Canis lupus familiaris: one gene and its partner. The protein of the gene in region 2 purifies or fractionates together with the protein of the main gene of each other region. This does not show direct contact. Links are inferred from orthologs where the notes say so. Each region holds a gene or a part of one and is shown on either strand. Other genes may lie near its edges. The genes, in order: FGD1 and SH3PXD2A.

Region 1 (3,817 bases), on a different chromosome or scaffold from region 2:
AATGAATCTGGCTAGGGAGTTCTTGGTTTTGTTGATTAAAATGTATATTTTCTTAGGATAGATTCCTATAATCAATATTATTGACACAAAGAATAGGCTCATCTCTTTGTTTCTTTATATATGGCTTTTTTCTTTTTTTTTAATTTTTTATTTATTTATGATAGTCACACAGAGAGAGAGAGAGAGAGAGGCAGAGATATAGGCAGAGGGAGAAGCAGGCTCCATGCACCGGGAGCCTGATGTGGGATTCGATCCCGGGTCTCCAGGATCGCACCCTGGGCCAAAGGCAGGTGCCAAACTGCTGCGCCACCCAGGGATCCCTTTTTTTTTTAATTTTTTATTTATTTAGCTTTTTTCTGATTATAAAAGTAATACATACTCTTTGTCAAAAATATGGAAAATACAGAAAAATCTAAAGAACACAGTAAAAACCACCCATAGCATAGACCCACCATCCAGAGATGGTCAACTCTTTAAATATGGCTATGTTTCTTTTCAGTTACCTATGTAATTATTATTATAGTTATTTTTAATGGTAATAATAATCCTAAGTTTGCATGTTATTCACTGCCAGTTATTCCATGCAGTATGATTCTGTTATTGTGGAATTAATTGAGATAGTTTCTGATTTTAAGTGATGCTGCTATGGACATCCTTGGGGCTGGTGCTTTCTGGGACAGGGAGGGTGTATTTAGGCCAGGAGGAAGCATTCAGGGAGCAAAGAAGCTCCCAAGAGCCTCCTCTCTGCTAGTTCCCCGTTTGACCTCCCACTCTGCCCACAGAGTCTCTGGAGCTGATAGCCACAGCAGCAGAGCACTCTAATGCTGCCATCCGCAAAATGGTGAGTGGCCCTTCTAGCCCCTGCCCTTCCTTAGCCACCCACCTGTGGTGTCTTTGTACTGGGGAACTTGCTATTTCTGGACATGTAAGGGGCAGCCAGCACCCCAACCCTGCCTTCTGGTTACTGTCTCCTGCCAGGAGCGAATGCACAAGCTGCTGAAGGTATATGAGCTGCTAGGGGGTGAGGAAGACATTGTCAGCCCCACCAAAGAGCTCATAAAAGAAGGCCATATCCTTAAGCTGTCAGCAAAGAATGGGACCACTCAAGACCGATACCTCATACTAGTAAGTGCCAGGTGTGGGGTTGCACACATTGGGTACTCACTCAAGACTATACCTCTTGCTAGCCATTCTTTCCTCTATTAATTCATTGTATTTTTACCACCTACACTAGGGATTTTTTTTTCTCTACTTCAGAGGTGATGTAACTAAGACTTGGAAGTGACTTGCCATAGATCACCCAACTAGAAAGCGACTCCCATGCCTAGGCTCTTTCCTCGTGACCATTGTGCTCAATCTGGGCTGTGCTTTCTCCATCTGTTGCCTTGATTCCCCAACAATAAAGCTTCAGGAGTCCTATAAGGATAGGGGGCTGGGCCACACCTCTCCACACACATCCCAAAACTTTTCCTTCGTAGTTCAACGACCGCCTCCTTTACTGCGTGCCCAGGCTGCGGCTCCTTGGCCAGAAGTTTAGCGTACGGGCACGCATTGATGTTGATGGCATGGAGGTGAGCACCAGGAGGTGGGAGATGGGGACCTGGAGTGGGGCCTTGGTGCTGGGAGGAATAAAGTTGTTCTGCTCTGACCCCAAGTCTTTGCGTGCATGTGTGCAGAGGGTAAGGTCCCTGTGGAGCTTAGTAGTCCTCACAAAGCCTCTTTCTCCCTCCATTCAGCTAAAGGAAAGCTCCAACCTCAATCTGCCTCGGACCTTCCTGGTGTCAGGAAAGCAGCGCTCCCTGGAGCTCCAGGCTAGGTACTTGCCCTTACCTATACCTTCCCTCCAGACCCCTCTTTCGCTTCAGATACAAGGCATTCTAGGCCTTGTGCCAGGCTACCTCCCCAAGGAAGAGATTGTTCCAGAGAAAAGATGGGTACCTTTTCCCAAAGATGCAGCTTTGCTCTTCTGGTGGGTTTTGTTAGAGGAGAGGGAAGAATGAGATATTAATCCAAGCAGGAATGACAACAACATAGTTTATTGTAGATTCAGAGATTTAAGAGAAATCACAATAAAATGCAATCCTTGGTCCATGAAAGTAGCCTAATTTGAGCAAAACCCTAAAATATATTTGCAAGAAAATAGGGAAAATCTAAGTGTGAGCTGAACAATAGCTGTTGGGGAATTATTGCTAACTTTTTCAGGTGTGATAATGGTATAATGGTTATACAGGAGAATGGCCTTGTTTTTTTCATGTTGCACATTGAAGATTTAGTATCATGATATCTGTAATTTATTTTTAAATGATTTATCAACCAAAAAATACATACACATGTACATATATTCACACACATAAATACATACATACATATACATATATATGAAGTAAATATAGCAAAATATTTTTTAAATTTGCATCTATAGGATAGGCATACATTTAATGAATTTGTGTTATCCTGTCTTTTTTGTACACTTGAAATTTTTTATAAACTTTTAAAAATAGTAGCATTTAAAAATAATGCCTAGCCATTTAATAAAGAGGCTTTCACATCCATCCTCTACTTGGATGATTATAATAATAGCTCACATTTAGTGAAGACTTGCTCTTATGCTAGGCACTGTTTTAAGTTAATTTTAACTTAATTTAAGTTTAAACTGACTAGTTGAATCCTTAACACAACCGTTGAAGTAGCTACTGTTACCATCAATCCCATTTCACAGATGAGCAAACCAAGGCACAGAAGAGTTGTGTACTTTGCCCAACATCCCACAGCCAGAAAGGAGCAGAGCTGGAAATAGAGCTCATGCTGCCTGCTGAGGGCCCAAGTGATACGGTATCATGGTCAGGGTCAGGGCCAGAGAATGGATGCATATGAGTAGATGATCTGTTTCTGACAGGCTGCAAGGAAGTGAGAAATGAGAGTCAGAAGCCTCATTGCTGGGATTGCATGGAGGCAGGAAAGAGAGATGAATATGGCTAGAAGGTGTCCTCCTAGAGGATGCAAGATAGGTGTTGGCTTTGAAGCTCTGGGAGACTGAGAGACCATCAGCAGCCAGGAAGCAAGAACAAAGTAAATGATGGGCACATCCAGGAGAGGGCTCAGCAGAACCGGAGTGACAAGTCACATGACTCAGCTCTTCCGCTGGGAGGATGGGAGGGAGGGGGCCTCAGAGAGACAATGGAGCCAAAAGGAGTACTGAGCAGTGCAGGATTTCCTCCTACTGGCAGAGGAAAGTCATGAAGGCTTTGCAATTGCTTTGCAATTGATTGTACTGCCCTTTAAAAAATTTTTAATGAAAAATTTCAAATATCCAGAAAATTAGAAATACAACAAACACCCATATACCTACCATTTAAACAATTGGTACTCAACCTTGGCAATGCAGGAATCAGCTGGGGAGCTTTTAAAAAATACTGATGTCTTAAGGGGCACCTGGCTGGCTCAATCAGTAGAGCATGTGACTCTTGGTCTTGGGATTATAGGTTCAAGCCCCACGTTGGGGGGATTACTTAAAATATTTTTTAAAATACCGATGTCTGAGACCCACCCCCAAAGACGGAATTTGTCTGGGATACAGCCTCAACATGAGTTTTAAAAGCTCCCTTGGTGGTTTTAATGTGTGCATCAGGGTTTGGGACCACTACTGACTTAGAAGTCAACAACAATTGACATTTTGCCATATATAGCTTTGGCTAAATCATTATAAATTAAAGACATGATACTTCACCCCAGGCCTTTCCTCTATTTGCACACACACACACATACATACACACACACATTTTCTTTCTATATTGTATTATGAAAATATTCCAGGGCA
Region 2 (3,817 bases):
AGCACAATGCCAGGCAAGAATGGGTGCTCAAAAAAGCACTTCCTGACTGCTCGCCCAAATGTTTCAAGCACCAGAGCTTAAAACCAAGTTTAGAACTAAACTAAGAAACAGCTTTCCTCCAGATTTCAAGCATGGCTGGACCTAAACAGAAGTTGGCTTCTCATAATATAGGACAATCTAACCTTGAACCGAAGATGCCATGAGCCAGAGGAGGACAGATTTGGGGGGATCTGGGTAACTGGGTTTCTCCTGTAAGGATGACGATGTTCCTAAGAATGCCCTCTAAAACTGCTTGGGGAGAGGTAAAGCCATTCCTTCCAAGTCTTTTAGGCTTCCAGTAAGTGGTGAGAGGCAACACGGAAGGAAGGGTAAGCCAGGAAAGATGCCCTGTTGGCTGTCACTCTGTAAAGCACCCTTGCGCAGGGGGCTCGTATTTCCCAGCCTGGAGGACACACTGATCTACAGAGCGACCACCTCTGGCTCTCTTCTAGGGAAGGAGGGAATGCCACAGGCTCATATACTCCTGTAGTTGACCTTCAGTGCAACAGTCATGAGGAACTGCTTTGTCTACTCATGACGAGCAGGCAACAAGTTCACGGAGTGAGGCTAGGGTCAGGTCAGTCTAGATCTCAGGAAGAAAATGATACGGGGGTCCCGCACACCCCTCTGGCTTTCCTTGCACCCTGTGACCACTTTCTAAAGAGCTGTGCAGGGAGGATGCAGGGGTCAAGGAGGCTCTTACTGATCTGGGCCCTCTGTGGGGCAATCCTAGCCACAGCTGGCGAGCCCTGGGCCAGCTTGGAGATGCTCCTCTCAGGGACGCCCAGGGCGCTGCCATTGGAGGCATTGCAGAGGATGGGCAGGCTAATCTCCTTCTTGGTGATGGGGGCCTCAGGGCCCTCGCCCTCTGCTGGTGGAGTCTCCTTATCCCCTGATGTCTTCTTGTTCAGCAGGTTGCTGATCTCCATGATGTTCCCGATGATCTCCACAGGGCCTGCGAGATTCTTCTTGCGCGCCGGCAGCTCATCCTTGGCTTTCTTCAGGTAGGAGGCTGGTGCCCAGCCCTCTTTGCCCAGGTACCTGTGGGGAGGGGCAGGACACGGCATCACCCAAGCACTGCTGCTTGCCTGACCTCACAGCCCAGGCTCCATCGGGCCTGGCCTCTCCCATGTTCTCCAAGACACCTGGCAGTCCCACTACTCTGGAGAGGAGAACTGAGGGCAGATGGAAAGCCACCTAGAACACGAATTCTTCCTGTCTCCTTCTTCTCTGTCTTATCCTTCTTGGTGTGGGCTCTCCTTCACTGCGAAGTCAGCCAAATGTGGGACATCAGGATTAGAAGATTCCTCAGGTTCTGAGGTACCCAAAAGGTAGACTTCACATAGGCCTGTTACCTCACAACAGAGAGGACAACGCTAGAGACAAGAGCAAGCATGGATGCGGTGTATTGGCTAGATGGCCCCAGCAAAGGGAAGTGTTATCAGAGAGGTGAAGAAGTGGCACAGGTAAAAGGAGGCAGGAGCCCTGAGTTCTGGTCTCTGGCCCTTTGGCAAGTCCCTACCCTGGAGCTCAATTTTTTTTTCTCTTCTGCAAACTGTAGGGATAGAGTAGCTGCAAAAATTTATCCAGAAAGGTAAACATATCAAGAGCAACTACAAAGAGGTCCATAAAGAAGAGTGACCCGGTAGGTGAGGCATCGGTGCTACTGTGTGGGTGGTGGATGGATCAAGTTCACAGAACAAGTCCATAAACAGATGGATATGAAAGGTAACATTTCAACTTTGAGTGGGGATGAGATATCAGTAACCCATCTAGAGATGACTGGTTACCCAATTAGGAAAAATAAGTGAGATCTGGCCTCATACCTTAGAACAAAATTAAAAAAAAAAAAAAAAAAAAAAAAAAAAAAAGCTGTGTCTGTTTAATCTTGGGAGTTAAGAAAATCTTTCTAAATAGGATTCCAAAAGCCAAAACCATAAATGAAAAGACTAAAAGCACATGACTGGATAAAATGAAAACCTTTGGTACGGCAAAACAAAACCAACATGAAACAAAACAAAATGAAAATAAAATAAAAACCCATAAACAAAAGCAAATGACAAATGATAGAGCTGACTTAATTTGAGGTGATTTGATGACTTCTGAAAACAAGTTTTTCCTTTTGCCCCCATGGTGTTGAGAGCTCCTACCCAAGCCCTCGTGCAGCTCACTTCCTGGTCTAGCAGTCACTGGCCAATGCCCTCGAGTCTGGGGTGCAGCGTCCCTGTCTGCTCCCTGGGATACATCTGGCTCTTTGGAATGGCTCCTCTGTGCCAGATGTCTGACCATCCCTCCCCCTCCCCAATCTGACCCTGTTCTTGGGTGTTCATTAGGTGAGAGAAAAAAAGGAATGTGAAAGCTAAAGATTCTATCAACATGTCTGAGCTATGCTGGAAAGCTTGGGTGGGAGGTGGCTTCTTATGTTCACACCACTGGAACGAACAGGCAGGCTGTCCTGAGCTCACCTGTCTGGCCCCCTCCCCTGTTTGGGAGTTGGAAGGCAGACACCAGTTAACAAATGGACAGAAGCCAAGGGGCTAGCCTGGCTTCCCAAGGTAATGGGTGCAGACAGAAGCACAGAAATTTCAGGGGTGGATGGAACCAAAAGACGTAAAGATGCCTAATCTTACATGGGAGCCAAGAACCAAGGCTCAGAAAAGCAAAGCAAGTAGCAGAGGGTCACAGGCTAGCTGTTGGCAGCATCTGGCCCAGAACTTGGTGCTCATGCATCTCAGAGAAAAGATGAAGTAGAACTGTTGCGGCTGTTGCAAGTATTTTTCTATCAGAACAGTGGGGAGATGGGGAGCGGGGTCTCATGGGAGTGACGGTCAGCCCTGCTCACTGCCTGGAGTGCTCCCATTTCAAACCCTGCTGTATTCCTTTGGTGTTACATGGATAAAATTAGATTCCGGGCAGAGAGATGCAGGGGAATCAGGAGCGGCTGTGTGCGTCTGGGCCCAGCTCTACTCACATCTGCTTTCCAGCTCTGGAGCACGGAATGACTCCAGAGGGAAGCCAACTGGAAAAGGAGGGATGGGGAGAGAGGGAGGGGATGTGTGTGTGAAGGGAGAGGGGAGAAGAAAGACAGGAAATGAGGATCAACACAGAGCCTGGAATGCTGGGAAAGGGCATATTTCAGGGGGTGTCTGGCAGCCTCCTTAAGGTGGAATCTTTTCAGGAAAGTTTTCTCAGAGGAAGCCCCCACTAGCTAAAGAGTCAGGCCATGGGGACAAGAGTTGATTAGAAAAGACGGCTCAGATGACCTTTGGGTCATTTTTAGGAACTAAAGAGACCCTGTAGCCTTGTCGACAACCAGGCAAGTGGTTTGGGTCACCAGCCGGCATCAGAATGCTTGCTGGCCTTCCCATGCAGACTTGTGGTTGCTGGCTTTGGGGGTTGGGTCTAGTTTCTTAGAGAACGTGAAAGTTTAGGGCAGTGGCTTTGGGCAACAGGCCTGTCTTACCTAACAGAGCAGAAAGAGACACCTTGGCCCTCCTGACTGGTGTGCATGGGGCCAAGGGCAGGGGCAGCTCTGTCTTAGAAGTCACATTAAGGCCGAAGCCCATGTGGCCAATGACCTTCACCTTACCTGTCAGCACAGCCCCATCTTACCACCACCACAGTCTGCTGTGGTCTGAGATACTGTCATGGAGTGCCCAGGTCACTTGGGTCAATCCTGTTCCCACTGTGGGAGCCAGCACAGAGCATACATCCTGCCCACAGATGCGGGACTGTCGGAAACTGGGTGGAATCACTACAGCTGAGCCGCTTCCAAAGC

The links.
Region 1: the proteins of SH3PXD2A (region 2) and FGD1 purify together in Homo sapiens (affinity purification with mass spectrometry; 3 studies listed by BioGRID and IntAct, with this or other methods). This does not show direct contact. The link is inferred for Canis lupus familiaris from reciprocal best matches to the Homo sapiens genes SH3PXD2A and FGD1.

Annotation. Positions count from the first base shown.
Region 1 is NC_049260.1:46,537,798-46,541,614, reverse strand, and holds part of FGD1 (FYVE, RhoGEF and PH domain-containing protein 1), read left to right. Parts: intron 1-782; coding exon 783-841; intron 842-978; coding exon 979-1,125; intron 1,126-1,478; coding exon 1,479-1,571; intron 1,572-1,736; coding exon 1,737-1,816; intron 1,817-3,817. UniProt on the Homo sapiens protein: Activates CDC42, a member of the Ras-like family of Rho- and Rac proteins, by exchanging bound GDP for free GTP. Plays a role in regulating the actin cytoskeleton and cell shape.
Region 2 is NC_049249.1:16,143,316-16,147,132, forward strand, and holds part of SH3PXD2A (SH3 and PX domain-containing protein 2A), read right to left. Parts: intron 1,081-3,817; coding exon 743-1,080; intron 1-742. UniProt on the Homo sapiens protein: Adapter protein involved in invadopodia and podosome formation, extracellular matrix degradation and invasiveness of some cancer cells. Binds matrix metalloproteinases (ADAMs), NADPH oxidases (NOXs) and phosphoinositides.